Drosophila melanogaster: one gene and its partners. The protein of the gene in region 2 interacts with the protein of the main gene of each other region in a pairwise test. Each region holds a gene or a part of one and is shown on either strand. Other genes may lie near its edges. The genes, in order: abd-A, hth, dsx and Cpr100A.

What was found.
Region 1: the proteins of hth (region 2) and abd-A interact in a protein complementation assay, tested with the Drosophila melanogaster proteins (one study listed by BioGRID).
Region 3: the proteins of hth (region 2) and dsx interact in a protein complementation assay, tested with the Drosophila melanogaster proteins (one study listed by BioGRID).
Region 4: the proteins of hth (region 2) and Cpr100A interact in a two-hybrid assay, tested with the Drosophila melanogaster proteins (2 studies listed by BioGRID).

What each region holds. Positions count from the first base shown.
Region 1 is NT_033777.3:16,823,768-16,832,033, forward strand, and holds the start of abd-A (abdominal A), read right to left. Parts: upstream 4,339-8,266; 5' UTR 4,237-4,338; coding exon 3,368-4,236; intron 2,541-3,367; coding exon 2,284-2,540; intron 1-2,283. Other genes in the region: MSAmiP (MSA micropeptide), read right to left, coding at 7,744-7,806. UniProt on the Drosophila melanogaster protein: Sequence-specific transcription factor which is part of a developmental regulatory system that provides cells with specific positional identities on the anterior-posterior axis. Required for segmental identity of the second through eighth abdominal segments.
Region 2 is NT_033777.3:10,609,927-10,618,179, forward strand, and holds the start of hth (homothorax), read right to left. Parts: upstream 4,351-8,253; 5' UTR 3,074-4,350; coding exon 3,059-3,073; intron 1-3,058. UniProt on the Drosophila melanogaster protein: All isoforms are required for patterning of the embryonic cuticle. Acts with exd to delimit the eye field and prevent inappropriate eye development.
Region 3 is NT_033777.3:7,963,363-7,971,372, reverse strand, and holds the start of dsx (doublesex), read left to right. Parts: upstream 1-3,964; 5' UTR 3,965-4,910; intron 4,911-8,010. UniProt on the Drosophila melanogaster protein: Controls somatic sexual differentiation. Binds directly and specifically to the FBE (fat body enhancer) of the yolk protein 1 and 2 genes (Yp1 and Yp2).
Region 4 is NT_033777.3:30,864,247-30,871,711, reverse strand, and holds Cpr100A (cuticular protein 100A), read right to left. Parts: upstream 4,192-7,465; 5' UTR 4,041-4,191; coding exon 4,029-4,040; intron 3,806-4,028; coding exon 3,558-3,805; intron 3,495-3,557; coding exon 3,029-3,494; 3' UTR 2,528-3,028; downstream 1-2,527. Other genes in the region: CG15545 (uncharacterized protein), read left to right, coding at 1-654.

The DNA of each region.
Region 1 (8,266 bases), 6.2 Mb from region 2:
GCATTTGGCAAGCATTCAGCTGTAAAACGTTGCCGTTGTTGCAGCAATGGTTGTTGCAGTTGCTGTTGCAGTTGTTCATGTTGCCGGTGCGTCCGGGTCTGGGTCTTGGTCTTCGTCTGTGAGTTTTTTGGGTGGGTTCGCAGGCTTGGCAAAGTGAAAGCCAAACGAAAAGACTTTTCCGAAGGAGGCGAAGCGATTCTTGTGCAATCCACATGCAAGTGCATGGATATAGTGCCAAAACACATGCATATATACTTCGTACGTATGTATATACAGCTTTATGTACAGCATGTGCATTTAAGGAGTGGTGGATAAAGGGGGCTGCGTCGACGTGTCGCGCACTTGGCTGCCATAATGGCGTCATGCTCGTATTTACTTTCATCGCCGCCAGTCGCGTCTCTATGATCTCGTTGACAATTTTATCGCCTTGGCGCTGTGAGCGGGAGATATGCAAAATATTTCATTGTGCGAAATACCGTTTATCTTCCCAACTGGCCGATGCTTCGGGTTTTCTTTTCACCATCAGGTTTTGCCTGCAGAATGTGTGTATCTATTAGCTGGCCGGCCAAATACATAGGTGTGTTAGCCACATATTAATATCTTTCGGGGTATCGACGAACCAGAAACCCACTAAAATAGAGGAATGGATTTTTAATCTGCATAGATTAATAGGAGCGCTGGTTATCGATTTATTGACACCCAAATCTGGTCAAATATGTAAATTATGCTGGCAAAAAAAAAAAGACCGAGAAACTTTTGAACCTCTTTTCTCGATGATTTTAAGTTCTAATGATTTGACAAAATATACCACTTGATAAACATTGGACCCTTAAGCACACTACCTTGTTATCTCGTATTAATGCCATTATTTAAACTCTGTCTGCTAGATCGTCAATTAACAATTACTTATACTGTTTAATTAACATGCCTATGCCGTAAATTCCGCGTAAATCCGTCGCGCGATCTTTTTCTATTACGACGACCGATGTGCAGTCCATAAGTCAGGCCAATTGACAGTCTATTCATATGGTGTCTGCCATTAATCAGGAGGCATTCAACCCGCGGGGCAGAATGGAAAATTGAATTCGTTCAATTTCTTCTTGTGCAGCGTGGAAATCGAGTGGCCTGATGAGAAATGATAAATAAATCTGCTGTGCAAAATGCGCGGAAAAAGCGAGCGGATCGCGTAAATTAAACTGACCCACATAAATTTGAAGCGAGTTCGCCCGTACTACGTTAGCCGCATAAAAAGAGCGGCGGCCAAAAAGTATCTGTATCTGTATCTCTCGACGGATATGTGGATTTTGTATGCGCGGGGCACATCGCAGTGTTTTTTGGTCGGCATTTTGGGCTATACGTTTGTCGGTGTGGGGCAACCTTGAGGCTATTTAAATTACAAATCGACGCCAAATAACACGACAGACAAGAGAAGCATTTCTCAAACTATTTTCATTTTTATTTACTGCCAACTTTTTAGCTCTTCGTTCATTTCGTTTACGGATTCGAATCGCCTGGAAGACTTATGCGAAATAAACGACTTGGAAGTGCTCCGCAAAGTGTTCATTACGAATTGGAATTGTAGGCGAAATGGCGGTGCAAATGGGAATGCTATTGGGGAACGTTTGCGCCACGTTTATCTATTGTTTATAAAAGGTACGCAGCAACCATTCCAAATACTACACTTGGGAAATTTAATTCGATAATTCGACTGGACGCTTTTTGTTAGGTCATACAATTTGTAAATCAGTTCGAACCTGGTTTAAGTCTACGGGTTGTTAAACAACTTAGCTGTTTAAATTTTTTAATTATAGTATTTAACCTAACATAGCGACTAAATAATTCAATCCAATATAAGTTCTTACAATTTTTTATTTGATTTTTTGATTTCAGTGTAAGTGGCCATGATTTATATGTACACAAAAAATTTTAAGAGATCGCTTTGTAGATCTTGAAGGCAATTTATTCTTGATTTAAGACGATATACATTCCCTGAAGTGCACGGATTATTTCTGATTTTATAATGATTGGCATGATATATAGAACACAGTAGATACGATAGACAGACTCTTAATTTAAAAGACTGATTGATTGGCTCAGTGTGATAAACTTGTATTGGGATATGTGTGATTCTCAATTCTAAAAATCGGATAACTTTCAAGATTTATCAAATTTGGCACTCACATTCAGATCCGAAGTCTTTCACAAAGAGTCCGAATCTGGCAGTTATTTTTTTACTTATGTATAATATATCTCCGCACTATCGAGTATCGAGTTTTGACTCACCTGTAAGCGTCATCCAGGGATACCTGGGCAGATCGGCGATACCGGCTCCGCCCGCTCCCCCTGCCCCTGGCATCACGCCGGAGGCGGGCTGTGTGCAGGCATTTCCCAGCGAGTCCACGCCGATCGCGCCGGCACTGGCCGCGGATACCGCGGATGCGGCGGCTGTGGCATGTTGATAGAACTGAGCGAACTGTGCAGATGCCGAGGCAGGTACGCTCATCGACTGGTAGCTGTTCATGACAGTGTCCGTGTACCTGCTGTGGGTGTGGGAGAGAGAAAGTAGCCATTATTGTTGGTGATCCCTGCTCTCATAGTACGTTCCCAACTCCAGCGCCCGTACTAAAGTCAAATGCTAATGAGGTGGCCATTTGCATGCCCCTTTCACCAAACTGCGGTTAGCTCTAATTGCACACTAATCCCGAACACGCCCACGCACAGCAGGGTTCACTGTACATGCACATGGAGTGCCCATACAGTAGTACTAATATGCAAATGGCCGCAGCGGAAGGTCAGCGTGCGTGCGAATCTTGTGGCCGGCGACAAATTGCCAGCGGCCACCACAGGCTGCTCTAATTTTCCGACTTTATGGCCATTCAATATGAATGGCCGGTGGCCGAGAGGAAAATGGACAGAGTCCCAGGATCCGAGACCCGATAATTAGAGCGCATTCGAAACGGATTTGCGGTTTTGCAGTGTTTGCAGATTTTACTGAAGGTCTCGACTGGCATTTCCGCTCGCCAAATTGAGAGCACGCGAAATTAGTTCTTGGAAGAGCTGAGTGTTTCTTTTTTTTTGTATTTTCAACCCCGGAAACATCTTCTTAAAGGTTTTGAAGCCAGGTAAAGCTAATGGTCATACTAAATTTGCATATATTTTAAAATATGATACTGTCTGAGAAGTTCTATCAATGCACTCCAAATATTTGAATATCATATTAGATAGTATAGATCATTTGTCATTGACTTTATATTTGCACTTCCTATTAGGGTCATTTAAGATCATTTTACTACGATTGGACATAAAACCCATCCCGATTTATAAAAATCTGCATTATCCCATACTTAAACAGGGCAATCTATCTTACCTGCACGACTTATCCTCCAGTCCGGTGAAGCCGGCCATTCCGGAGAGCCCTCCATGGCTGCTAGGGTGGTTAGACACGTACGGATACATCTTGCTGGTGGGGATGGCAAACGAGGAGCTAGCCGCAGCGGCGGCGGCGGCTGCAGCAGCAGCGACGGAACTGGCCGCGGATGCGGAGGCGGACGCGGATGCGGACCCGGGAGAGTTGTCGTTGAGGCTGCGGTGTAGCGAGGAGCTACCGGATGCCGAGGGCGATGGGGAGCAGCTGCTGTCGCCCGCTTGAGAATTGCCCGCTGACGGGGGCGTTAGCAACAGTTGCTGGTGGGCGTGTCCGTGCGAGGCAACTGCGGCGGCGGCTAGTTTGCTAATGTGGTGTTGTTGCTGCTGTAGCTGAAGAGCGGCCGAGAGCGAGGAGTATTGGTGGTGGTGTTGCTGCTGCTGGTGGTGCAGATGTTGCTGCTGCTGGTGGTTCAGGTGTTGCTGCTGCACCTGTGGGTGGTGCTGCTGGAAGGGCGACGATGAGGAGACGGGTGAGTGGGGCGATTGGCCCAGATGTTGGCTCAAATGGCTCGGCGATAGGGATCCTCCGCTCAAATTGAGATTACTGTTGTTGTTGCTGCTGCTGCTTGGACTGCTGCTGCTATTGTTGGTGTTGCTTGTGTTGCTTCCAGCGATCGTGTTGCTGCTGTTGTTGTTGCTGCTGCTGCTGGCTGAAACGCTGGCGGATGCAGAGGCGGCGGCGGCGGCTAGGGCGGCGGCAACTGCTGCAGATGACGAATTCGGGGGGGTGGTGGTTAAGTGGTGCGAACTGATAAACGGCTGGAACTGTGGATACTTTGGCAGCATACTATCGAAAACAAATTTTGACATTGCACATATTTTGCTCTCTGGCCGAGGATCGGATCTTCGGAATTTCGTTTAGTCCACTTGTTGTTCTATTTTAGTTTCGGAGATTTCTGAGTTCGAATGATTTGGGTTCTTTATCTGAGTCGTTTGGTTAATGGCTAGATTGAGTATTTCGTTTTATAATTTAAAGTTTCCTCTTTGTGTGACTTTAACAAATTTTGTTTGAATTCAGCGTGGAGAGGAGCGCTTTCTAGCCATAATAAAACAAAAGTTCCGACTACTTCTGTAAGCACAACCTAAATCTTAAACTTGAATGACTTTATAATTCAACACTGTGAGAAATAGCATTTTAAAAATATCTTTTTCTTTAACTTTTTCATAAGATTTACACAGCAATTTAATTTGTATCAATGTCTATTAAAATTTACTTGTCTTTAATGAACATCTCCCGTCTCTGTATTTAACTTTTCTACTTCATAATCGAATGCAAACTACATTGGACTTAGTATATAAATCACTAACAAAATTAATCGAATTAAAAGGTACTAAAAACAAAAATAAACTTGGCGTCCAATGTGATAAACAAGAATTAAAAATGGCAAAACAAAAAATATAACATGTTTATAAAAATTACTCGGAAACCATAAAAAGAACATTAACCAAATTGAATATGTTTGGATTGAACATAAATCTTTCGGGTAGCATGATACAGAACTCAAGTGAAAAAAATATATAATCCAAATGCTTTATATATTTTTCAGCTAGATTTCCCTGCCAGTGCCAACGAGTTAGTATGTGGGTTACTTTTACAGTACTATATGAGATGGCCAACAGTTAGTACTTTTTAGATAGAGTTAGTGAGACAGAATTCGGAAACTTTGCCAGCTGCCCGACTTTAAGCTACTTTTCTCGATTCCGAGAAGTGAAATGCATTTTGTTACCTTTCTCAAGTTTTCTCTAGCGAACTTTTGGCGAGCAGCTTGTATTTGCAGCTTTTCTGTTTCTGTTACTTTTTTCGCTCGAAGCTGGCGAATTCACAACGAAATTTGTTAAATTTGCATATGGTCTCGGGTTGCGTTGTATTTGCAGCTGTGGCACAAGTGTGTGTGTCGCATGTGTGTGTTTGGGGTGTGTGTATCTTTTATTTGTTGTAAAAGCAATTAAAATGCGGTCATCAATTACGCGGAAATTCGAATGGACGTCGTGCCGGCGGGATTTCGTACGTGTGATTTATAGGCGCGCGATCTTTTTTAATGGCACTCTTGTATTTTTATGGCAGAGTGAGTTTCCTGCGGCTTTTAACGACTTCTCAAGTGCGTGAGTGTGTGTGTGGCCGGAGAAATGCTTTCTCCCAACGTTTTGCTTTAATTACTTTGTTTAAAATGTCATAAAACACTTTGCAGGTAGAACTATCGAAGTCTGGAACGGAGAGGCGAGAACCTTTTTACGATGTCAACTTTATGTCTTTTTAATTTTTACGAACCGCACACAGTGAGTTATAAACCATAGTGTTTTGACAGTTTTTTCGGTTTTAAATTTCACACACAATTTTATTATATTTTACGCGATCTATAACATTTAAGTGACAATAAGCCGGCGGCCGAAACGGAACAATAAACACGGCGAATCGGAAACTGAATCGTATTGCCGCACTACAGTCGTATAGTCGTATAATCGTATAATCCGAATCGGAATCGGAGGGCCGAAATTCCAAAGAGTGGAGAGCTGAGTTCCGCAGACACTACTGCGCGCCACGATAATAAATATTATAATAAAACGAAATTTTTAAAAGAGTATAAAAATTTCGTGTAATTGGTAATTCTTGCTGCCAGCGCGGGCAGCGGCGTCGACAGAAACGGCGGCAGAGCGGCAGCGACTGAGGCGCTTTGAGTCGTTGGAGACTTTGAGTTTTGTCTGTCTACGGAGGGGGTTTTCCTTTATATTTTTTGTTTTCTATTTTTTTTTTTTTGGGGAGACCGCTTTACGCGCGAGAAGAGAAGCGAAAGCAAAGCCGCTGCGAAACGTCGAGCGTTGTGGCGTTACGAGCAGCGAAACGTTTATGGCGCAATACAAAAGCCATGCGAGCGTTCTTATGGGCAACTGGATGCTGAGTTTGTGACAATTCATTTTGGCTCACTCCCTGACTCAACGTCGACTGCAGCAGCGGCGGCAATAAGAAAGATGGCAGCGCAGCCAGTTCATATGTCTGTCCCGCTTTTGCTCGCAGGCACTCAGGCCGAGCACCGCCGCTGTTCTCTCTCTCTTTCCCGCTCTCTCGCATGATGGCCGCCTCGCTGCTTTGAGTGAGTAATTTCCCGATTTGAGTGCCTCTCCTAATTTCACTCTTTATAACGTGAGAATGGAAACTATTGGAGCCCCGCTTTGAGTGCTATGCTTTTTAAGTGTTTTATGCTTTGTTTGGCAAAATGTTATTGTTGATTAAATTACCGTGCATTATTCATTTTGAGTGCGCTGCCTTTGAGTGAGCGTGTTTCAATACAAATTAGACAAAATTTATATTTGACTTTTTTTGTGGAATCACCCTCTTGTGGTGTTTCAAAAAAAAAAACCCTTAAATTTCTACAGATAAAAATGCCGACTCGGCAAAAAGACAGCACTGCCTCTTCTTTTTTCGGCCACCGCCTTTTGTGCGCCTTTATTTTCTCTCTTTTCTGTTGTCACTGGAATTGCTGTTATGACATTTTTATGAAAAATTTCAAATTTATGGTTGAAATTGGACAACACACAAGCATTTTACTCATGCCTCTTCTACTATTGCTCTCATCCTCCTTCGTAGCGCAAATGTGTGCGGAAATAAAGTGAATCTGCAATTTCTTAACTTTTCTACTTAGAGAACTTTGCTATCTGACATTTCGAAGGATTTTACACAGAGAGTTAAAAAACGAAAAGAGGCATTGTGAGTGGAATTCAATTTTTTAAGTCTTACCAAATATTCCAATACATTTTTTGTTGGTCATTAGGTAAGGAATGTAATTATAAAGTTAGGATTCAAATAAAAAATTTTTTAGCATAGGCTAGACTTGATAAGTGAAATTAGGACATCAGGTTTCATTTATGAAGCGAACGTTCTTTCTAAATATAGTTATGTTAAAAAAATCAGTAGAAACAATGTTATAGTTTTTCTATATTTATTTTTGTATTTTTTATTTAAATCATACCACATCACAACATTTTCTTATCCTTCAATTAAATAATTTTTAGCCATTTAACACTCATAAATTAACCTTAATAAACAATTTCTAAAGCATAACAAATTTATTTAAATTATTTCTTATTCATAAATCTACCAGTTAATGTGCTTCCTACCTGTCTATTTGTTGGAATACGACTCGTGCTCAAATTGGATTGCCAACTCTTTGGCTATAACAATTGAATAATTGATCCATCAGCGGATTGGCTAAACAATCAATTTTTGGCACACTGGCTTCTTAATTCTTTAATGACCAAAGGTGTATTACGGTCAAGGGGGAGAAGCAGTAACGGCGTTAATGGCCAGAGAGCGCTTTAAAATTAATTGCTCATAAATTCTAAATTAAGCATTTTGCCACACTTTGGTTTCTGCTTATGGGTCATACAGCGAGTGCGAATGAGTGGATTTACTCATGCACTGAAAATATAACTGGTAATTTTATTTTGTATAACCTTTGATGATGCAAAATTCGTATTATTGTAACGAAATAGTATTGAATTAAACTATTTTTATGACATATTACTAATTTATACATGATGGAACATTTTAAGTAACTAAATTTAACTAAATAAATTCAAAATGGTTTTTAAATAAATTAAAAAGTTCTTTAGGTTAATTCAACTTGTTATAGAAGCCCGAAAAATGGTTTATTGCTGTGATGTATTTGTAATTGAATATTATGTCTAGCCGTCCAATATTTTAAAAGAGAAGGGTTATTATTTTTCAAGTGTACTGCTGCCCAGGTACTCAGCCACTCACAGCGGGCCGTGATTTACTGCCCTTGCCCCGGGGTTATGGGATGTGGACTATAAGCGGTGGGCCCGTGGCAGGTGGGCCGCCCAA
Region 2 (8,253 bases):
GCAAAAATAGTAATTCCACTTTATTCGATGAATATTAGCAAAACACTTTGACTTAATGTTTGGGGAAATTACGGCAAACGAAAAACGGGCAGCGATATTTAAAAAACTTTTAAGCGTAAATGCAAAAAGAAATGAAACTAATGAAAACACTTTCAACGGCAGCCAGCGACCTCGTCAAACTTGGCAACTATGTGTGTGCTGTAGTAAGCCAGAGAGGCCGGGAAAAAATAAGTAAAATAATAATACTACTCTATAGGCTATAACAACAAAGGCAACAACTATATAGCACCAGCAGGCACCGACCCAAGAATCAGGCACGCAATTTGATCATTAAACATGAAGCTCTTTAGCACACGAAAAACAACATCGGTGGAAAGTGGGAGAAGTGGAGGCCCCATATAGAGTCTTATGACCCCCTCCCCCTGCGCACCCCTTGCAGAAATATGCATATGTAATTTGTTTATAAATATTCCTCTCAGCCTGACGCTTCCTATTCGCTCAATTTTCGCTGGCATGTGAAGCGTCTGCCGAGCGGATTCTCAACCGAAAGCCAAGATATATCTGAAATCTCCTGATAAACGGGGGGTCGTGGCAAAGGGGGTAAGTGGGGAGCCCATGAGTCATGCGGTGAGGCTGGGAAGACTGGAGAATTGCTCACTTAATTAGAAAAGAATTCGCGACGAAGGTTGGTCGCTGGCAAAGATTAAACTATTGCAATATGATAAGGACTAGGCGGGAAAAAATATTACTATACTTTGCTGACGAATGTTATTTTGTAACATAGGGAATTTCAAATTCAATTTATTGTTATTAATGGAATGAGTTCAGCAGTTGGTATATTTGAAAGTACACATTTCAGCGGACCATTGTTATATACTGATAATATATACATATATAACTAGAATTTTTTTCCTGGCTCAACAAAAAAAATGTTTTAGTTTGCCACCTAAGTCGAATTCCGAATGTTTCCATCAACTTTTGCAAATGCTGCTGGCCACTAAAGTAAACCACAGAATCGACTGTGGCATTTTCCGCTGCTCCGCTCTCCTTGATCTTTTCTATTTTGATTTTGATTTTATTTCTAAAGCGAACGAGAAATACAAAAAATAGCTGAACAAACACAGTGGGAGAGGCGAGCACACGATAGACGAATTATATTTTATGCCACAAATTACGCTGCGGTTAACCTTTAAATTAAAATAACACCAAAACAATTTTTGTGCTGCATTTCGCAGGCGTTTGAAATGGCACACGAACTGAAAAATGGTGGGAAAAGTGAGGGGGCGCGGGGGAGAATGGCAGCAGCTGCAATGCACATTTTTATACAAATTGCAATTGCACATTTTTTTTTTTTGCACATTTTACACGGCCGCTCTTTCTCACTGTTTCTCTCGTTTGCTCTCCGTTTCGATGGCATAAAATAATCAAATTAAATATATATAAAAATGCATGTGCAGTTTGGTTTGAGAAGAACCCGCGAAAATTGCTTCCCGCCATTTTTCGCAAATTATAGCAGCGCAAAGTCATGGAAAATGGTAAAAATAAAATTGTAAATAATAAAACCACGAAGCGGCATAAACTGAATGGATCGCTTTTGGGCCGCTGGCAATGTGCAAAATGTGCAATAAAATTATATGCATCAAATGCACACAAACAGACAGAACACCCGTATATATTCACATACTCGTACATACATACATATATCTCTCGCCCCGAGTCGAAAAATTCATTTGATGGAATTGAAATGGCGCGATTCGGGTAAAGAGCCGCAGGAGAATTACGAAAAAGGGGATTCAAAGAGGTAAATTCGGCACAGAATCGGGTATTAAACCACAGGCGTAAATTTATTCGCCAGTAACGCAGACACACACAAAATTCCCGCGGGCATTTCTTTTTTCCCATCTCCATTTCCATTTCCATATCCATTTTTATTTTTTATATTTCTTTCTGATTTTTTTAATGCTCCCAAAGAGCATGGCCCACCTTTTGGTAACACACACACACACACACACGCTAATTGGTAGCACACACACAGGCAAACGGCCATGTTTGAGGTCTTTTTGCTCCGTTAAATAAAAATCAAGTTCACTTCGCATGTCCATGATAATCAATTGATAAAGTCTAACTGCGATTTGGTAATAATATTTTTTTGAAGAGCGGGCGAGCGGAGACTGCCGGTCACCTGATTAGCATATAATTTACGATCCAGATGGATTGTAAAAATTATTACTCCGTTTAAAAAGCGAGGCGAGAATTTATGCCTTATAAACGTGATGGAAAATGGTGGAATCATTGTGGCTATGCAACGGGGGGGCTTTTCGGAGGTGAAGGTCCCAGCCATGTTTAAACAAAAATCGAATCAACTATTGCGGTGTGAAAATGAAAAGTTAAGGGGAAAAGCTAACAATTTTCAATAAACATTATTTAATGATTTTCTAGAGTAAACCGTTGTTTAATGTAATACAATATCTATCACTATTTCGGCGATCTTTGATTTCCATCACTTCCCAAATAAAATGGTCTAGCTGCAGACTCAGTTAATTATATAAACTTGTACCAGAAAATGACCCGCATAAATCAAATGTGATTTCTGTCCTATTCCAATACACATAAGCACACACACACACACACACTCAGAAACGCTTAGTTAAAATTCATTTTGATAGGGCTCTAATAAACAAGAACTATTCCCCATTGAATTGATTGTAATGGGTTAAATTGGAGAAGCTTGGAGGCCATGTATAAGAAATATTTATATAGATCTACTTCATGAAGTTGGATTAACTAATATCTGAAGATTTTTAAAACTTTTTGCGTATTCTGGTTATAGATTGATTTGGTTACACTGGTAACATATCCATGATATGAAAACTGTTACAATATCATCATAAACTACAACCTGTAAGTGCCGTCGGCACCACTTGACTTGATTACAAATTGACTGAACCCCATTTGTTTTTTAGCCGTCGGAACTTGTTTAAGGATAACAACACTCTCGGGGGACCATTCTATATGGATTCTATATATTTAGAAAGTGAACTTTGGTGGATCTACTTACCCTGGGCTGAGCCATTAATGCTCTGGGAGCGACGTCTAACCCGATTTGTGCCACTTTTTACAGTAGGAACAACAAATGGGGGCGCAACACACTGACCGACGTCCCGCTCCGCCGCTGCAACTGCTTCGGTTTTAGGGAAGCTCTACTGTAGCTGCCCGTGTGGAGTCCTTAGATTTACTCTTGGCTTTTCCAGTTCTTCAGTTTTGGATGTTATTTTCTTGGATTTTTATATATGTTTTGCACTTTTTTCATGTATTGGGAAGCCTTTGCTTTTTGAACGCTTTGCTTCTTGATTTTGCTTTCTTTTTTTTTAACACAGGCACATTTGTTTAGATTTTATGTATTATTATTACGTTTGTATACTTGTTGTATTGTTGATGTTGTCGTTTTTGTTACGCGCGCGTTTGTTGTTTGTTTTCTAGAGCGGGAGATCTGGTTTTGAATGTTTTTTTTACTTGTGTGTTTGTTATAATAATTATTTACATAGCATTTGTTTGGTTTATAAAAATCGTATACAATTTGTTGTTGGTTGCCGTTGCAGTTGTTGTTGTTGATGTTCTTGGTATACTCGTGTATTGTAGTAGTTGCTGCAACATCATTTGTTACTGGGTTGCATTTGTTGTTGTCATAAATCCATGGCGTTTTTTCCCTTTTCCTCTCTCTCTCGTTTTGCGAGTTTCCTTGCCTTTTCCTTGGTTATTTTTATAGTAGTAGTTGTGGTTGCTTTTAATTTTTATTTGTTTGTCGTATACTCTTTTTGCTTTTTTCGTATAATATGCGCACTATTTATCACAGCTGCTTCTACATACTACGTTACTAGAGATGAACAAATTATATTGTTAATATATAATGCAATATATTCTGTTGTGTTTTTGCGACGGCAATTTGCGTGTTTCTTTGTTTTTGCGGGGGGATCGGCGGGATCCCCTCGTTGAAAGAAATTCCCTCCGCGGCCCTCAAATAACAGTATTTATTTTGGCCTTCAATTGTGAAAAGGAGAACTTTTCGATTGTGATTGAAAAACACACTAAAAAACGTGATTGTTTTGTTCGCGCGATGGAAAAACGCGCGCGATTTCCAAAGTGTTTCTTGTGTTGTTTATTTGTTGATTGATGGCAAAACGCGTGGTTAACGGGCAATAATAATAATCATAATAATAATAAACTTCACCGACGGCAACACTTTTTCGCTTTTCTTCTCTTTTTTATTCGAACGCAACGCAACACAGACACACGTCGTACGCGCTTCGCAGTCAAAAATACACTGTGCGGATGAAAGATATTTCATCGAAAAACCAACCCGCCAGATACGTTTGAATTTACGCTACAGTCGGACGTGTTTCCACTCCTAACATCGCTGTTAACTAACAGCGAAGAGAGCGCTGAGCGACAAACAACAGCAAAGTCAACGGGTGCAAGCGGTGCGGCATGATTGTCAATCATGCAGCTGCCCCGCTCTGTTCAGATGCAACAATTGTGCCATTAACTCGCTCTTGGCCATAACTCAGCGAGTGCAAGCGAGAGGAATATATGGTTTATGCGAACGCTCCGGCGAATTGCCTGCGCAGGCGCGCTCGCATCCTGGGCGACGATGACTGATTTGTTGGTACGCCTCTTCTGTCATACACACACTTGTCATTCACATGCATATACAGTACCGTACAGCGGTGTTCTATCTCTTTCTCTTTCTCAGTTTTCGCCTCTTTTTGCGCAATGTTCGCCGCGTTTGAAATTTATTTGGCTTTGGCCAAAAGGAGACGGCTTATGGGTTTTTCGCCCCTCTGCCGGCGTCGGCGTCGAAAATCAGCAAAAACCAATCCCATTTGTTATTTTCGCTTGAGTGAGTGGCAGTTGGCAGCTTGGCTCTTTTTCGCCGCACCTTTACAGGTTGAAAGGCAGCGAGAAAGCTTCAGTTGTCCATCAGCTTCAGCTTTCGCTCACTTTTCGCTCTCTTTTGGCGCCCCCACACACACTCGCACACACACACTTTTGCCCGAATAGGCAACGCCTTCGAAGAAAAGCGGCAAAAAAGAGAAGAAACTTGAAGGAGAAGAAGAAGAAACGTGGACGACAAAAACAAACTTTTCGCTGCAGTTCCTTTATTGCGTCCTTTTGGCTTGTAACGGTGATCTGGCCACTTTGGAAGGATATGCGATCCTGACAACAACAAACAGCTGTTCGAGTTTCTCCTCTCTCTCTCTTTCTTACTTCTTGGGGAACAACAACAAATGGAACGGCGATAAATTGTCAAAAACATTCGCTGAAAATTGCATATTTTGCAGGTCATTCTGCGCTCCTGTTTGGCGAATCTACTCTCATTTGGTTTTTTATATACCCTGTACAAATGGTGTTACATCTCAAACCAAAAATAAAAAATTGAGGAAACGGGCTTTTGCATTATTTGAACAAGTTTTTTGATGACAAGTATGTTTGGGCAATTTTCAGTCAATTGTGATATCTTCGGCGTGATTGTACAAATTTTTTTTTACATTTTAAACTAAAATAAATTAGTCCAATTTGTTTTACCAATAACTACAGGGTAACAAGGTATGCCAATCTTCGTATTCAGTCCGAAATCCTGTCTATTGTTGCTGTTATTGTTACTGTCGTGTCGTCGTCCTCGTGGCAGTTTAAAAAGCAGTTAACACATATTCCCAGGCCATTTTTCACCAGCGTATTTTTGGCTTGGCGCTGCAGTTGCCATTACGCCGAAAGAGACGGGGATACTGGCGAGCGAGAGAGACGGGGCGATTTGGCCGGCGTTTTTAGGAAAATGAAAAATAGCCTTGTTTGTTTTCCGACGCTCGCCAAAAGGATTTCCCGTGTCTGTTTTCGCTGGTCAAAAAGATGATGTTGCACTTAATCTGGTTGCCATTTCATCCCGAAATCCCAAACCCCCAAAATCTTGGGAACTATGTATGATATAGGTGCTCTGTTTCTGCGTCTTGTCAACACTTTGACAAATTTATGAGACTTTGATTGATTTGCGGTTGCTTTTTCCCTTTTTTCGTTTCGGGACTCGCTTTCTTTTGGCTTTTTCAGACGTCCAACTTTTGTGCGTCTGCTCGGGCCAAAAGCCAAGTAATTTATGTGAAACAAAAATCACATAAAATCGAATCAATTAAGTGCAATAAATTAGTGAAACGCTTAAGTGTGGGAACTTTTCAGACTTATCGGTGACCAAGTTAAATTCGAATAGATCGATCGACGCGGTAGCAAAGTTCAAGGATCCCAACGAAATGTTAGACAAATGAAGTTTATTTGTTTAAGAAAACTCGAGGTTTTCTGAGAAGCGCTAATTGAGGAATAGAATATACTTAGTTCGTAGAATAATACTGAGTGAAAAAATGTTTTCAGATGAAATTTAATAAGAACAGATAACTTAAATTTCGAAGAATGCAAATAAAGCGGACAGCTCCAGAAAAGCTCAAGAATTTTTGCAAATGAAGCAGGAATTTAATTTAATATTTAGAACTTTGCCAAATTGAAGGGACCATGAAATTTAAATCACCGAAAAAGGAAAATAATCAAGAAGCGAGAAGAGCGAACGGTGGGGGGGGGGGTGTACAAAAGGAGGGGCAGGAAGCGAATTTAGGGGGCTGGGCCTCCACCCAGTGAGCGAAAAAAAAATGAAAGAAGAAAGCCGAAAAGGAACCGACTCGGGAAAACCTCAAGGAAAATTGCATTTGGAAACTTCCAATCCCAGACGAGCGAAAGAGAGGGCAGAGAGGGAAAGCTTACCCATACACGTGCACTCACACCAATTGGGGGGCCAGCCAATATGATTTAAACACTCACGCACGCACACACACAGGCACACACTTGCGAACACCTACAGTGATGTTAACGCCGGCAGTGCAGTCGGCGTCGCCGTCGACGCCGGCAGAGAAGTGTGTGTTGTGTGCATGACAATTCATCTCTTTCTTATAAACGCAATTTATCAAACGCAAACGACGAGCGACAGCAAAAGATGAAGACGACGACACGATATCAACTTGATGTGGCGCCATCTCGCTTGCTCCCGCTCACTCACTCAAGCAAGAACCGAAACAGAAAGCCAAAAACAAAAAAATGGCACATGAAGAAAAATAGGAGTTGCCGTCGGCGCTCTTCTTCTTCTTCGCCGTCGCTGCGAAATACGAAAAAAAAACATCGAACACACAGAAACAGCAACAAAGTGACTGAAACCGCCATAATCTTGACAGACAAGTGCACGCGCTCTTTTCGCCGCGCTTTTAATGGTTTGTTTTTGTCTGAATTCGCCGAACAGCGCGGGAGAGAGCGCCGAGCGAGATGGCATGCGTTGCAGTTGCGTTGGAGCGAGAGGCCCTAAGTGTTTTATGGCAACGCGTTTTACAGCTGTTTCACAGTTGTGCAGCCATTGCAAGACTAGGCATGTAACATGATTTGAGAGTCATTGGAGTTTAAGGATCTTCAGTATTTAGAGTTGTATGTTCACTGTTTTTATTTATAAGGTATATAGTCGTTCAAATCGTGATTTATTCATATAATTTGTAGGATGTAATCGTTTTAATATTGTTTGACTGTTCCTTTAGTCTGTATACTTATGTTATTGCATATATTTATTTATTCAGGTTTTATTGTTATATTTTTAGTTTTTTGCACCGATATTTTTTAATTTAATACATAAAAAACTGATTTCTGTTAAGAAGCGCGCGAATTTTGATTCCGATTACCGCCTACAATTCATTTATCCTAAGCCAAAAATTATACAATTCATATAAAATCAGAGGTCCTGTCAAAAGGAGCTGTATTTTTAACACGGAATTTACCAGTTTACCTGCATAGTTACCTGTTTTGGCAGTTACTTGATCTTCCATGAATCTTCCTTTTGCCTACTAATTTTTTTGTGACTTTCAACGCTTGAGAAGGCCCATAAAAGGCTTAGGACACTTGTTCATAAATCTACCTGATCTATTGCGACTCACACCCTCTACACAGAAAGAAACAAGAATATTCCTAAAATTTTTATTACTGTAAGTTATTTGAATTTAGAAATATGCACAACAAAGATTAAAATCCGAGGCATTTAAAATGTGTTTGATTGATCTATAAAACGTATATCCTGTTTTGTTCTGTGCAGCAAAGGTCCTGCGAGCTTTATTTAATTTTTCTCCAGTCATTATTCAGCCTACTTTAACTGACCCGAAGAAAAATCGATGGCAAATTTGCTGG
Region 3 (8,010 bases), 2.6 Mb from region 2:
TACTTTTTCAGCTCTATGTTGCTGGTGCGTATTTCTGTTTGTTTTGAACTTTCCCATGAATAAATTTTGCATATTAATTGAGCGACTGTCATCAATATGTCTGTGCGCAGAACGGAACCCACCCAATGACCAATGAGCATTCCCTGCGCCAGCCTCATCACAGCATGGCATCATTAGTTGGCCTAAAAAATCCCATCAGGCTTTGATTAACATTTTGTGCACACAAATGCCGGCCAAATGCAAGAGCGTCTAAATGAGTTGCATCTAATTGAGTGACAAACACGCCACGAACAACACAACACCACCGACACACCAGACCCAAGCCCAGACCCAGACCGACAGCAACTGGCCACCTCTCACAAACTGTGCCAATTTGTTTTAAAATGCATCATCCCGGCGCTCAATCAGCTCTGCTCGGTCCAGTCCGGAACTTATCCCACCCCAGGATCCCCCAATGTCCAGTGCCTGCTCTCGACTGTTTTTCAATTTGCATGCAAGCGTAAATTACTCTCGGCTCGAGACCCCTTAACCCCTTCCTGGAACATCGGACCCTCTCCCCGCACGGATTCCGCCCGCTGGTCGGTTAAAAGGTTTGTCCTTTGGTTGTGTTCTATATGCAGATTGCCATCGCTGTCGAGGACTGCTCCGTTCTTGCTCCTCCTTTTGGTGTGCCTGACGGAATCTTGTGCCTGACTGCTTTAAATAACTCTGCGTATCTTGGTTATGAACATAAAACACGTTTTTTGGCACCCCATTTGTCATTAAGCTACCAATTTGCTCGGCTTCAAAAACATCTCAAATTTCCCACCAATCGAACGAGAGGGGGGAGCTGAAAATTAGCCAGGTTAAAAGCCCAAAGAAGTGAGATCAAAAAGCAAGCGATGAGGACGAGGATGGCGAGCCTTTCCCGACGCCGGCCCAAAACTGATAAACACACAAATCTTTAAGACCGCAATTTAAAATTTTGAAATGCATTTTAATTGAGATGTTTCGTAAGTTAAAACAATTTACTTACTGCTGTGTATTTAAACAAAATAATTAACTATAACAAGGATAGCTTGAAAACATTATTTGAAAATCCGATTAGGGCTGCACAAGTGCTCTTTTCTGTGGAATTTAACCATCCACTTGTTTAGTTAAGTGTGGTGTAATCAAAATTGTTTTACATGAACTCCGAAAATTTCCCCATTAATCTTGAATAGCAACTTTAACAATTTCACGGAAGCAGTTTTGACTTCGTGTACATATTCACCCGATCCGTTCGGTGGAAATGCAAACTGACAGCGGTTGATATACATTTGCGATCTGGGCGCCAGACTTGTGTACGATTCGCATGCCTAAGCAACTCGACTGGCTACCCAGTTAAACAGGAGAAAAAATTGGCGATATAGTGAGGATTTTTATGGTTGTACGCAAAAATTGTGATATCTCTGGTAAATATGATTTATAAACTAAAATGAAATATTCCTTATTTTTCATTTGAATACAAATTGCTATTACTCTTTTTCAAAAGCATGATTCATTAAAAAATATGGTAATTCAAGGAAAGTTTGGTTATAAAATTCTAAAAATATTCTATGGTAATAACTTCTTCCGCCACTTTCGACCTAAAGTAATACATTCAAAGTAGATGCAATTTTTCTCAGTGTACTTATCTACCCACTACCGCAAACTAAGCCGAAAGACCTCCTTCCGAGTCGCTAACAATGTACAACAACTTGTAGAATGGCCATAACAATTATAAAACACGAACACGAGTCGCTCGCGGGGAATTGCGATTGCAATGGTAGGCAGCGGGGTGAGGTGTCTGCGGAGGCAGACTGCGGTTGGCAACTTGGATTACCTTTATCTGGCTGCCGGGTCATCCGGAGAATTCTGCGCCCAGCACTTGGCAGCATTCCCCGATGTCGTCGCTGTGTCGTGTATCTTTGGTGCGGCTTTCGAGGTGACAACTGCGACAGCTAAACGTCAATTTGTATAAATGTTTGCAATTGCCACCGATGCGTCGGTTGTGGTGAGTGTGGAGTTGTTAAAAATAAAACACACTGAACGCTGATGATCGATGCGGGGGTCGCAAAGGTCCTACAAGGAAAAAAGAGTATCTGTCAGATGCAGAGAGTGGAACTGGGAGCAAGAGAGCAGATCATAAATAAATATTTCCTTAGCAATTTGCATTTTTTCTGACCGCCCGAGTGTTTGTTGTTTGCCGTTCTGCCCCAAGTTTGTTGGCGTTTTTTGAGAGCGCACTCGGCCAAACGAGTTTCGATTCGGATGCGTATCCGCGAGATACTCTTCCCGCGCCGCTCTTTGCTAATTGATTTATGAGATTGCAAATGCAGATGCCCCCAGCCAAGCTCTTTCGACACTCCGCCATAAAAAGGGCTAAAATTTGTGCGATCCAAGGTACAAGAAATGGTGCAAGAAATGCGCCTTTAAAGCTATGTGAATTTTATCGTTCTACAATCGGCACGGGATCAATTGGTGAAGATGTAAATCGGATTTGGATGAAAAATGTATCCCCTTGCCTATGCAATATATACAGTTTCATGCAAATCAATGACAAAGCCTTCCGCTCTCACTTTCGTAAACATTTTTTAAATAATATGTTGTAGTACCCTAGTATGCAATTATATTAAGTTTTCACATTACCTCGATGATATTGATAGTTAATATAATAAGTAAGTAATTTTCTTTAAATTCAATTTTTGTATGAGCAAGTCAAAATAATTACATAAATTCATTAAATTTAAGTCACTTTATCACTTCATTTATTTAAATATTAAATTAATAACTTTTGTCTCTGAAACACTAAACGAGAATCAAAAACGGTTAATTAATGAGTATTATCTTAATGTTTTCTGATCGCTGAGCCATTCATTCCCCTACAATTTGGTCACCAATGGGAAACTACTGAAGTACCGAAGGCCCTTTCGAAATCGATTCACTGCCCAAAAATCGAACTCTCGACCATTTTTGGTTACCTTTTTGGGAGTTGCGTGCATCGCCTGAGGGAAGTATCTTTTAATGGAGCCGAGCTTCGGCAAAATTATCTCCGCCGTACTGTATAAACGATCCTGACTAATATAACGGCTGACGATGAAAGGGGACCTTTCAATGTGATAAATGCGAGTGCGACACACGCAAATCGCTGCGTCTAAAGGTGGCATAAATACGCGGCGCAGGCCGAAACCCAGCTGAGTGGTTCGACCTATATCGTCGGCTAGACGCCCAAACCCGATTCGATGCTCCCCATATCTGGCGCTTCTTCTTCTCGCGCCACGCGGAAAGAGAACGGAAGAGAGAGAGAGAGCGACCAGAGTGCAAATTTACGATCGGCACATGCAGGCGGGAGACGTCAATGTACGGCAACAAAGTTGCTCCACTCGAGCTTCTCGCAGAGATTCGCAAAAAAACACGCGAACTTCAAGAGAGAATCGCTCAGAGAGGAAGAGCACGTCTTCGATGTTTTATGCTCCCCATTAATGGGGCAAATGCACTTTACACTCTCGCAGACCCGTTTCTCTCCGTAACTCTCTGTTGCCCAAGATGCTTTCGTTTGAGTTCTTCACATACCAACGTTGCTTCGAGCTTATGAGTTTGCTAAAAATCGTGGGAACCGATGAAAGAAATGCCCTTCTATCGTATAAATGTTTCTGTTTAAAAACTATTTACTTAGTATTTAAAATAATTGACCGTTTTTCGTATTTCACATATTAAATAGCAACACAGAAGTAATGAATATTTTAAAACATTTTCCGTTCAAATACATAATTTTTTAAAATACATTTTATTTGGCTGATATTAGCGGAAATTAGCCCTTAAAAGTATGCAACGCAGGTAAGGAGAATTAAGTATCCGCAGTGCGGAACCTATATTTTTCGCGGCGAATTTAGCTCATATTACATACGATTTAATAGTTTGCAATACTTTTTTATAGTTCATAGTTCATATTGTAAGAATTGTGTTTAAATTATGTTATTTTTAGCATGGTTTACTTATGGAAAAGAGCATAGTTAAGGGTTTACAATGAAAACGGTCAAATAAGGGTATCCATATCTGGTACCAAACCAATTTGCTTTCTCCCAGTTGATGTGCAGTGCATCCAGCAGTCGAGCAGGTTGGATGCTCGCACTCGTTTCTTTTTTCGCGGTGCAGCAACCAGAGTGCAAATACAAATAGCAAGAGCGTTGCGTCGCCAGTCGGTGGGCCCGTCTCTGTGCCAGAAACACATGCTCAGTTTTAGGTCCGCCCGTCCGCCTGAATGTCCGTGTATCTGTCCGCTGTCTTTTGGTCTGCTAGTCGGACTGGTACTGGTCCGAGTGTTAGTATCGTGCACGGGGAGCTTTAGCTTTGTGGCCGCAACCAGTTTGCTGGCATCGATCGTCCTTTGCAGGTCGTGCATGTCGCGTTGGCGTCTCGCGCCGTCCGCGTTCCGTGCTCGAAATCACAATCTCAAGCTGAAGTGAAAAGAACTGGAGCGGATTCGGTACAAAATTCTGTGCGATAGTTTTTAGTTGCTGTGCGAGGTCCGAAAATATCTCTAAAATGCGTTGACCTACAGGGAACCAGATCGAGCCGCGAGTGCCATGCTAAACAAAGTCGTTTGCGGCTACAGCTTGTACGGTTTAAGATAACAAATAAAAGAAATAAATTTTTACCGGCTTCACACTCTCACTCTCGGTCCACGAAGCACTCCTGACCGTCTCGTACCCAGCCGATCGGACTCCCCGTATCTCATCGAGTTCGCCGAGTGCTAGTGCTATATTCTCTCACTTTGCTTGCATAACCAAGAGCAAAGCACACCTCGCGGAGGCAGATCGCAGATGCAGATACAGATACATATACTGCTAGTGGTCTAGTAGTGGACCTGGAGATACTCTAGCGAGTGCATGCAATTGGCATTGTACCTGGTAAGTGAACGATGAGTTACGAGCGCTCTGCGGCCAAAATGTGCCACCACTCCGCTCCGTTTTGCCACCTTTTTGCCCGGCATTTGGGGGCGTTGCAAACTGCCTTGTAATTGCCTGACATAAATGCTCGTGTGTACAAGGCTTAATGGCGATAGCAGCAGGTACGCTCAGCGATTGCCATCTACAACTGGCGGTATGACTGCTGAATGGGGGGGAGCCAGGGGTTCAGGCTATTGTCTGACTTCCAAATTAAACAGGAAACGAGCAACAGGTCGCGTTTTACAGCCACACTATGAGACTCCCGCATTAGTTTCTAAGATTGGGATAGCGTAGGCCATTGCCATTGTCGTTTGCGATCGGCTATCCTAGATGACTGCATACATATAAGGCAAATTGGACCAAGGTCTAAGTGGTTATGAGGAAAATGCAAATGACAAATACGGAAACCAACTGGCTTAAAACGATAAACACGTGCTGAATATTTTTATTCAAATTAAAGTTGAAGCGAAGGCGTTTCTTGTTAATTTTAAAGCTTACCATCGATTATTCACGAGTGCTGCAATTATAAAAAATATATGTAAATTAGAACTTAAATTTTTGCCAATGCTCATTGTGTATAGCGCGAAAGGACAGTTTACCTTTAATATTTTGTGTTATCTTGGGGATAATTATTCATTTCTTTTGGCTATTATTCTTGTCATTTGTAGTCGAAATAACATAGTTAGCCTTGCTAAGTTAAAACTCATATTTTAGTGGGCGTAAGAGATCATTAGTAGAAACTGCAGCTTGCTTTCACTCACGAAATCTCGACTTTCATGAAGACGGATGACGCAAATGGCAAGATCGAGTACACCTGTCTGTAGTCTTAAAAAAAAAGGTATAAGAACCTAGCATGCCGTTTGACTCCTCAGCAAACATGCAGACTTTTTACTCATAGATTTATATTAAGTAAGTTATTAAACCATATTAGCAAGACGAATATTTTAGTATAATATAAATCTGAGCTTGGTACATTTTCCCAAGAATATATACAAATATAAAATACCTGTAAATGCATTTTTCTTAGTGCACAGTTATAATGATCTGTACTCAACTTTTTAAGCTGCACCCCACTTGCAATTATCATATAATCGACTTAAGGTGCTTTTGCCATTTATAACGCCGAGCTGTCCTTGGCCCATTAATAACCTGAAGTGGGTTCTTATCGTGATCTCTTCCGCTTTAGACAAATTAATTGAGCATACATGCGCAAGCTGCACATTTTTTATGCTCGCCCGTAATCAATTTAATCCGCTTTTCCTTTGGCAACTTTGACCACTGTTTCCCTGCTTATATTTGTCATTATTTCCACCAAACACAAATATTGAAAACTGATAGCCAGCAGGGTCTTTCTCTTAAAGTGGCTCTTCGGAGGAATTATTTCTCTGCGGGTCTCTCAGCTCATACAAATTAGAGGCGACATGCAAGATAAGCAATCTTGTGCAGTTTTTAAACACACAGGCAAAATAACAACATTTTGCCGTGGCCAGCGGGAGGCGGTGGAAGAAGGGGGCGGGTATCTGGTGCTAGCACGAATGTGAGACCCGTTATCAGCACATCGTTCATGCTCAATTTACCCTCCATTTAAATACAGGGTATTAACTCTTTAGACTCCGAAATTAAGTCATTACAGCAAACGAAAATTGAGACAGACAAACGCTCACACTACATGTCACCTAGCTAATAGATTAAAATTCTCATCGATACTGGCTTTCGTCTATGTCACATATATTTCTCCCTATCTTTCGTTCATTAGGTTCTAATCAATCGTCAAACATTTTGAGTGTGAATCTGTGTGCATAGGCAAGTTCAATGAGTCACCATAATGTCAAACTAAGTGCAAATTAGATTAAACACGAATCAAACACGCCAGCAGGTGTGGAGAAAGTGGACAAGAAGTGTAGAAGAATCTTATATTCCCTATCTATATAATATAGAAATATTAACCACATTCTTCCCATGTATACTTTTTACTTATATTACTTATATTATTTGGTTTTTTTATTATTGATATGTAATTGATTGATGTAAAGCTTTTTTTATTTTTGTGCTTTAGAGGGCCATTTATCGATTTACGAGTATCAACATATTTATAGGCTTAACTTATTTAAGCAGGTAACAATATTTTGGTTCTTTAAGTTTGAGTAAACCCATTAAATTAAAAAAAATGTTTTTTAGAATTCCTCTTTTCCATTAATTGTTATTATATTTTAATATCTTTCTAAAATTGTTATATATCATATGTATATATGTATATAATATATTTACGCACATACATAAGTTAAAAGAGTAATAGAAATGCCACGAATTGCACTTTTATTTCCAACCTAGTTAGATAAGAAGTATATACATATACTATATTTCAATGCCATACCTCTAAAACCCATTTCCAATAGCCCACTTGAAACCATTTCCTCGTATGTAGTGGTTATCGACTGACTGACTGTATATAAATGATTGGAGCTCCTTTGTTAGGTAGTTGCACAAGCCTCTAGAAGACCATTATACCGGAGTACCGTCCACAAATATCCACATCACTCACACGCCCTTTAGAACGAAAAACTAAGCAAAACAAATGCAATAAAATTCGCAGCGCAAAGCGGGCAAGCAGAAATGCAAAAAAGCAATTAAGAGGCGGAAGGCGAAACTAAGACTACGTCGAGCGCACTGCAACTCGAACACAAACAAGTTGCAAGGCGACTGCAACCGGCATCACAACACACTCCAACATTCACAAGTGCAGGGAAAGCAGCGACACCAACGAATCGACAACAACAACGCCAGCCAATGTGTGTGAGGCTGCCTATGTACTAGTCCGTCCGTTTGTCTGCGCGAGTGTGTGTGTGTTTGCTGCATGTGCCAGTATGGTGTATGGTGTATTGGTGTGCAGCCCCCACATTTCTCCAAATGCACGCAACGTCGACGCTGCACAGTGGAGCCAAATCATAGGGCTTTATTCACAAATATTGAAGCCTCCTACATATAAAAAGATATTTTCTGAACTTTTACTTATGTTTTCATGTGTTTCACAGTTACAGTCTTGGGAGTTCAGGAGAAAAAC
Region 4 (7,465 bases), about 20 Mb from region 2:
TATGTGACGGCCATTCCATACAAGGCATCTGGTTATGGATCCGATATCCACAAGCCCTCCGGTTATGGATCCGATGTTCATATTGGATCTGGAGAGGATGTTGGACCTCCTCCGAAAAGATCGAAGTGGACCCCAGTGCAATACGAATCGGAAGCCGATCCCTTCCATCTAGTGCCACCTCCAAAGGCAACCGTCGCCTCCAGCAGCAACTCATATAGTGTTTATGAGCCCGAACACGATGACTACGAGGTGGTTCCAGTGCCCCGACCAAAAAGCCACGATCGCTACAAAAGCGTCGCCTCCAAGAAACAAGTAGAGGCCTACCTAGAGGATCAGCAGAAGCTGCTCGACGAGGCCATCAAAGTTCAGCTTTTGAACAATCCGAAGCTGCAAAAATTCTTCAAGGCCCAGGCGCAGGAACAGGAGCGGGAATCGCGGCCAGACCTCGAAATCGAGGATTTTGAGGCCTATCCGCCCAACTTTTCGGGGCCCGGACACCTGCGCAACAAGTACATCGAACACCCACCATCTTCTCCGCCGAAGGGATCTCGATCACGCCGGCGTCCTCCAAGTGGAGATCTTAACCGACCACCCAAGACCATCATCAAACCGAAAAGGAAATACCGATCCACAGCACTGGTCATCAATGTGTGAGAGGGATTACTAAGTCCTGACTTAATCGTTAATTAAAATATCGTTTATAAATACTTAGAGTAGTCTTGTTGTACAGAGTATTTTTAAGTAATAAAAGACCATTTATTTTAAATGCCCCTATTTAAATGACTTTATCTTGGAAGTTTGGTGTTGATATGAAAGAAAATTATGGATATATTTTGATGCATTTAATTTATAATTTACGAATTTTAACATACGAGTTATTTGGCGCTTAGGAGCAGTTAAGCATAAATAGTTGTATATTTTATAAAGTGTTTTAATATACTTTTCTGTTGTATCTATCAAGAGAACGGTGGCGGTCTCTATCGGTTTTTGAAAGAAGTATAGAGTCTCGGTTCTTGTCTCAGCTAAATGTATGGTGTCCCGGCTTTTCTACCATTTCATGAGGAGAATTCGTCACCAAAGTGAATCCGATAAGGAGTGTTGCTGGCTTATTTGCTTAAAAAAAAAAAGATTATATCACTTAACTCAATTGCAAATAACCTTTCAATTTAATGATGTTTTCAAGTTTATAATACGCCACTTTAATTAAATATATTAATTACTCATCAATTTAATTGGATTCTGTATTCGTCACACCCACATCGCCATAATTGGAGTGAGTTCCACATTTCACGACAAATTCTGGCGACGTTTACCTTTTTAAAAATAAACGCAGTCAATCATAAACGTGTGTTGTTCATAAAAATAGACGTATTAAGAACACTTTGGAAGCAACACACCCATGAGACACCTGTTTCGATCCCAGGCAAATTCTCGACTCTTACCTCTTTCGCAAATCCGAACGAAAATCCGCAATTGAGCAAGCCAATTCAATCGATTGCGATTGCCGCAAAAGTGGGTGCACAAAGGCACGCGGAGAAGAAATCATAAAAAGCAATAAGTAGCAAAAAACAAAACCGAATTGATTTTCTTAATTGACTAAACAGTTTCAACAGAAGCCAGACCCCAAAGCCAGGCAAAGCAAAAATCCAAACTCCAAGCCGGACCCTCGAGTCCACAACAAATCTGACCTTGAAAGCTAAGCTCTGAAAAGTGTTGCTAATATTGTTAATGTAATCGTTGTCGGTGGTGAAAAGGAATGCCAACCAATGGATGTGGAAAGTACAGAGGGAAAAATGCTAAAAATAAAGACAACAATAAAATGCTAGCACTAAAAATATTTAAAAAATAAGTAAAAATGGAATCATGAATAAAATATAGTCAAATTAGAATAGATTTTGAGAGATATTGAATGAAATCAATTATTTCAGCATGCCCTGAATTAATTTATTATTTCCGAAGTAAATATATAGGTATAAGTGCAATTAAATAATAGAATAGCAATCGGTGCTCGAATTAAGTTGTAAACTATAACACACATATGCTGAGAACTCAGCAGGTGAGAGGAAATAGCAAATTAGCTGGCGGCATTCTTGCGTTCGATGGTGCATAAAATATGCAAAACATTTGGATGTTATTAAGTTGCACTAACGCAACTGGAGCCTGACGGATCGCAATACCATTGGGAATTGATTTAGAGCCCCAATCCCCTAATGAACCAGTGCCACCCCCACTTGCACATGGTTTTCCGGCTTAGCCAGCACCAGCACACCAGGCTGATTTCATTTTCATCGGAATTTTGCACAATTGGCCAAGATTACTGTCAAATGAGCGAAACCCGTTTGAGGTCTTTCCTTGTTGGCCGCATAGAATCGTAACAGAAACTCGAAACTTGTTTTGCACGTACGAAAGTCGGTTGTGTAATGCCGCATTTAGTGGGCGTTCACCACCCGAGGTGTTTAGATAAATCTGCTGGAAATTAAATAAGCGGCCACTGGCCGAAAAACAAAAGACTGCAGGACACGAACTTGGTTTCCTTCATATATTGTTTTTACTCGATTATAGTACAAATTGCTCAGACGTCCCAAGGCCCAAATTAACATAGTTTCTAAATTAATTTTGATCATTTTTCAACATCATCGAAGTTTATTGACTTCTCTTTTCTTGGGAAGACTTAAATGGAAAGATTAAAGTTTAATGGGAAAGTCACAGAGAAAAAGGCCGACATTTCTTGAGTTTTTTCATATTTCAAAAATATGCAAATGATATTTTGAATATATTTTGTAATTTAAATCAGCAATACCCATTGGGCAGCAGCGATTAATTTTCTCTGTGTAGGATTATAAATTAATAACAAACAGTACGCATATAGGAAGTACGATACAATTGCTCTTAAACATATCACACGAGAGTTTGATGGAGTCAAGAAAAGAGTAGGGGTTCTAGTTGTGATAGGGAAAGTTGGAAAAGAAGAAAGAGGATCCCTACTAATGAAGAAGATGCATAATGTCTGAGTGGAGGACAGTGGGGCTTATACCTTGTTGAAGGAGTAGGTGAAGCCATCGGGCGTGCGGTTCAGGGACAGTTTGCCGGGTGGCGAAAAGCGGTGTGGGTTGGGGGTGGTGGTGGTGTAGTACGCCTGCTGGGGTTGCGGCTGCTGATACTGGGGTTGGGGCTGCTGATACTGAGGCTGGTACTGCTGCTGCGGCTGCACGGGCTGTGGGTTGTAGGCGGGCTGGGGAGCAGGACGGTACTGCGGCTGGGCAGCGGGCTGCTGGTAGCTCTGCTGGTTCTGTCCGAAAGAGGGATCGTTGTAGCGGGGATCGTAGGAACCATCATCTCCGTAGTCATTGCTGCGGAAACTGGCCTGCGGCTGGGGAGCGGGAGCCTGGTACTGCTGCGGCTGGTACTGCTGCTGTGGCTGATATCCCGCTGTGGGCACGGGCTGTGGTGGAGCAGGTGGTGCCTGGGGCAAGTGATCTCCAGAAGCTTGGAAACTATTTCGGAATAAAAACCAAATTAATACAAGTTCGGGTATTTGTTCTATAGAAAGTGCTTACCCATTTTTGCCAGCTGTGTACGAAATAGTACGCCTCTGGCCCGTGGGATCCAGATAGCTGTAGCTGCCATGACGTGTTCCATCCGCATCCGTCTCCTCCTTGAAGTTGATGCCATCCTCCTGCTCATAGGCAGCTCCGAACTTTCCATCTCCGGACAGATAACGCTGCTCACTGATGATGGCCGCCGTTTTGGGATCCTGGTGATAGTGCTGGCTGGAAGCCAGGGCCACCAAGGTGGTCAGTGCAAGCTGTCAAGAATTCAAAATTTATTGTACAATCAAGTATTTGTGTGCTGCCAATTCCTTAATCTGAGTCATTATCACTTAACGTATTATAAGGTAAGACTTTCACTATTTAATGTGTACTCTAGAATATCCTGGTTTGAATTGACACTTTTGTCCGTCAGTTTGATTACTTTTCTCTTAATAGCTTTTAAATTGTTCGAACAGCCTTGAATAAAACACAACTCACAAATCTGAACATTTTGGTGTGGGGAATATCCTTGTCAAGCGTAAACTGCACACAATTTTATCTTCTTCTCGAGGGGGATTCACACGCGCCTTTACGCTTACAAGTCGGTTAAGAGGGAAATGGGACCGACGGCAACGGATTTGTGGAGTTAACTGCCTTCCGCAACGGTGCCGCCCAAGCTTTTTATAGTCCGAGCGGGAACCTTGGATCGCTGGATCGCCGATCGACTCCGCCTAGGCACTCCAAGCTATGTAATTGTGTTGGTACTATTAACGTTAACGGCAACAACAAGTCGGCCAAGTCGGCGTAACAATAACAAGAATCGAGCTAAGTGCTCCAATAAGTCAACTTTGGGCGAGTATTGGTATCGCGGTCGTGTTGCCAAGTCGTTTTACCAGTTTCGATCTCTTTCGCTTGGAGCGCCAACTTTTGCTTTCTATATATACGAATATATGCTATATGCACTTAGTTCCACCGTTTCTGCCTGCACCAGGCCCAAGCCCAAGACGAAAATATTTTTTAATTATTTCAAAAGTTTTTCAGCTGTAATCCAGCCTCAGCGCAGAGGTATCCTCATCTGGGAGGGGATCTATCGAAACCAGGAATTACCAATTAGTTCTGCAGAGCATGATGCAATTTTAATGGCAATAGTTTAGTTTAAGAGTAGGAAAAAAGGAAAATGTATGGAAAATACAAATAAAACGGGATATAAAATAGATTGAATAATAGTATTGTATGCCAATAATGTTGGCCTAAGCTAAAAAACAGAAATAGAAAGTAACTACAACACCCTGTGGAAGAAATTGGCAAAAGCCTCGTCTTTATTGTCTTTTTGATTTTTCCAGTGTGAAAAGCCCGTGGAAACTGTCGATTGTGATGGATAACTGGGCGGTCGCCCTCTGCTGAAAATCCGAACATATCTTGGGAAATTCGCCAAATGAGCGTTGTTAACTTTTCACTCCCCTCTTCAAGTTGTAAAGTTGTAAAGCCGTTTGTTTGCCTTTTAGCTGGATTTGCGTTCTGCATGTGCATGGCCAAGTTGATTTATATCTAGATCGGACTGAAAAGCTGGACTTTGTGGTGTGGCCAAAAGCGCTTGGCAACAATCGCCAGTGTTACCGCAATGTGTTTGACTTGTTGACTCTGCGCTGGCTTCAATTATTTATTGTGTTTGAAATGTCTGGCATTGTTTGGGCTTGTTTATGGCCAAAGCAGTTGGCCGCCCACCCACATGCCACACGCCCACTCCCACGCCCCCCACTTTGCGTAATGTTTGCAGAGAACTTTTGGCATTATTTATGATCTAACAATGCAAACAGGTCTGCATCTCCAACTTTGGTTATTTGAAGTTTTATATCTAGAGTCAAATTAACATTACATTATCTATATCGATATTCATTTTAATTTTAAAGAATTTTTCTTAAGCCCTAAAATTGAACGTAAAGAGAATTAGAGCATTTATGTATGCAAATCGGGTTTTCATATTTTAATGAGCGATTTCCACACAGCGGCACACTCTTGCACACAAAGTAGCCGCATGGGGTCGAAGATTTCGAGTAGCAACACTCTCATTTACACCGTTATTTGCCCTTTTGCAAGTCGCCATCGTCTGAACATCGCCATCATCATTACCATCGTCATTATCCGGCGGTCTTGTTTGTGTGGCCAAAAGCGGAGAACGCCCTCTCGCAGCAGGAGGCGGTGATCAGAGCAGAAAGCGGTAAAAGGAGGAGGAAATTAAATCAGTTGACAAACAACAACAGGAAACTGCAGCTATGGCATATAGTTCCGGAATATATACTTGATGTGCGAACGCCATGGCAAGGAGGCGATGGCAAGAGCAGCGGATCCAAGGTGAGGCCGAGCAGTTGAGCATGGCCGGATTAGCTTGAGGGTGTGCCCATCGGAGGGTTGAAACGGTCTAGCTACAGTGATCACTCGGAAACTAGAAATTCTAGAATTTCCTCTACTTAAAATATCTATAGAAATGGAACTACAGTTATATCTAAAATATTTAAAGATCCTTTTCTCTTTATTCCTATAGCATTATCTATATTTCCAACTTTATTATTAATTAATTCAAAATATTTCATCTAGTTAAGTAACTAAATCCGTCATGCTCGAGCGGCCACTGTACTCCCGAAGCGTCCTTCTTCGCTGGCCTCTCTGCTGCTGCCTTTTTGATTTCCATTTCGATTTTGAGGCGTTTGCCTGATGCGACGATACTGCCACCCAGAATTTCGAGGGAGGGAGTGGCACCAGGAGGTTGATTTTTGTTGTTATTTCTGTTGTGATTCCGCCGTCATCTCCAGCAGTCAGAAAGAGATGGCTGACGGGCCCATTCAGCGTTTTATTTGTCAGGCTTTCACTTTGGCCGAGTTAATCACAATCGGCGAACAGATAATGAGGGTTGAGCCCTCAGGGAGGGGATGCATCATGCAAAGCAGAGCGTTTTCCTCATCCTCATCCACGTCCGTCCTGTCGTAATTCCGCGTTGTCTCTCAATTATTTCAGCTGCTATTCCGAGCCCAGGAGCCTGGGTCAGAGCTGCAGACCAGGAAACTAGGAACTACCACCCGAACAAAGCGAAAACGAGCAGGCCGATATATGTTCAGACAATTGCGATTATTTGTAATTCAAGATGCAGTCGAGCGTTTTCTGAAATCGAGCGAGTCAACTCCGCGCGGAAGGTTAACAAAAATTTAATGCTAAACGCTTATCGGTTCCATCATCACCATCTACATCTCCATCTCCATTTCCATCAGAAGTCAAAACCAAACTCGCCAAACTCGTCGGGAAATTCGATCCATTTATTCCTGGTGGAAAAGAGAGCGAGCAAGGAGAAGGCCAGGAGTTTGAGATGGGGAGATGGTGATTTGATAGCTGATTCACGGATGACCCTGCACACTCGTCAAAAGTCAGTCAGACAACTCTAGGTACACTGCGAAAAATGCGTATATTCCTTGAAATAAATATTGCACTATGATTAGGTAAAGTTAACATGGATTTTTCAAAAATAACAAAACTTTTTTAAATTTTTATGTGAGCTCGAAAGGAATTAATATTAATTGCCAGTGCATATGATTTCTATAATATTCATATAACTAGAAAATTTTCCCTATGTATTACCCCTAAATACTGCTTATCCAAATCCGACTTCAATCACTCATCCTTTATGAATGTGTAACTCGATATATGTACGTATACTCTTAACTGCCGTGTAAGTGCCCGCTAATTGCGCATCTGCTGAATTTTCACATCGCGTTTCCATTTTTCCTGGCCACGGTTTCGCTTACCGTTTGACTTTTCCTCCGGCCTAGCAACTTTACTTTAAGCCATAAATTGTCGCATAACTAACGTGGTTTATATGGCTTGAAGCGTTTACAGCTCCACTGGACCAGTTTCCCCACACGCACACACACGCATTGGCCCGTTGG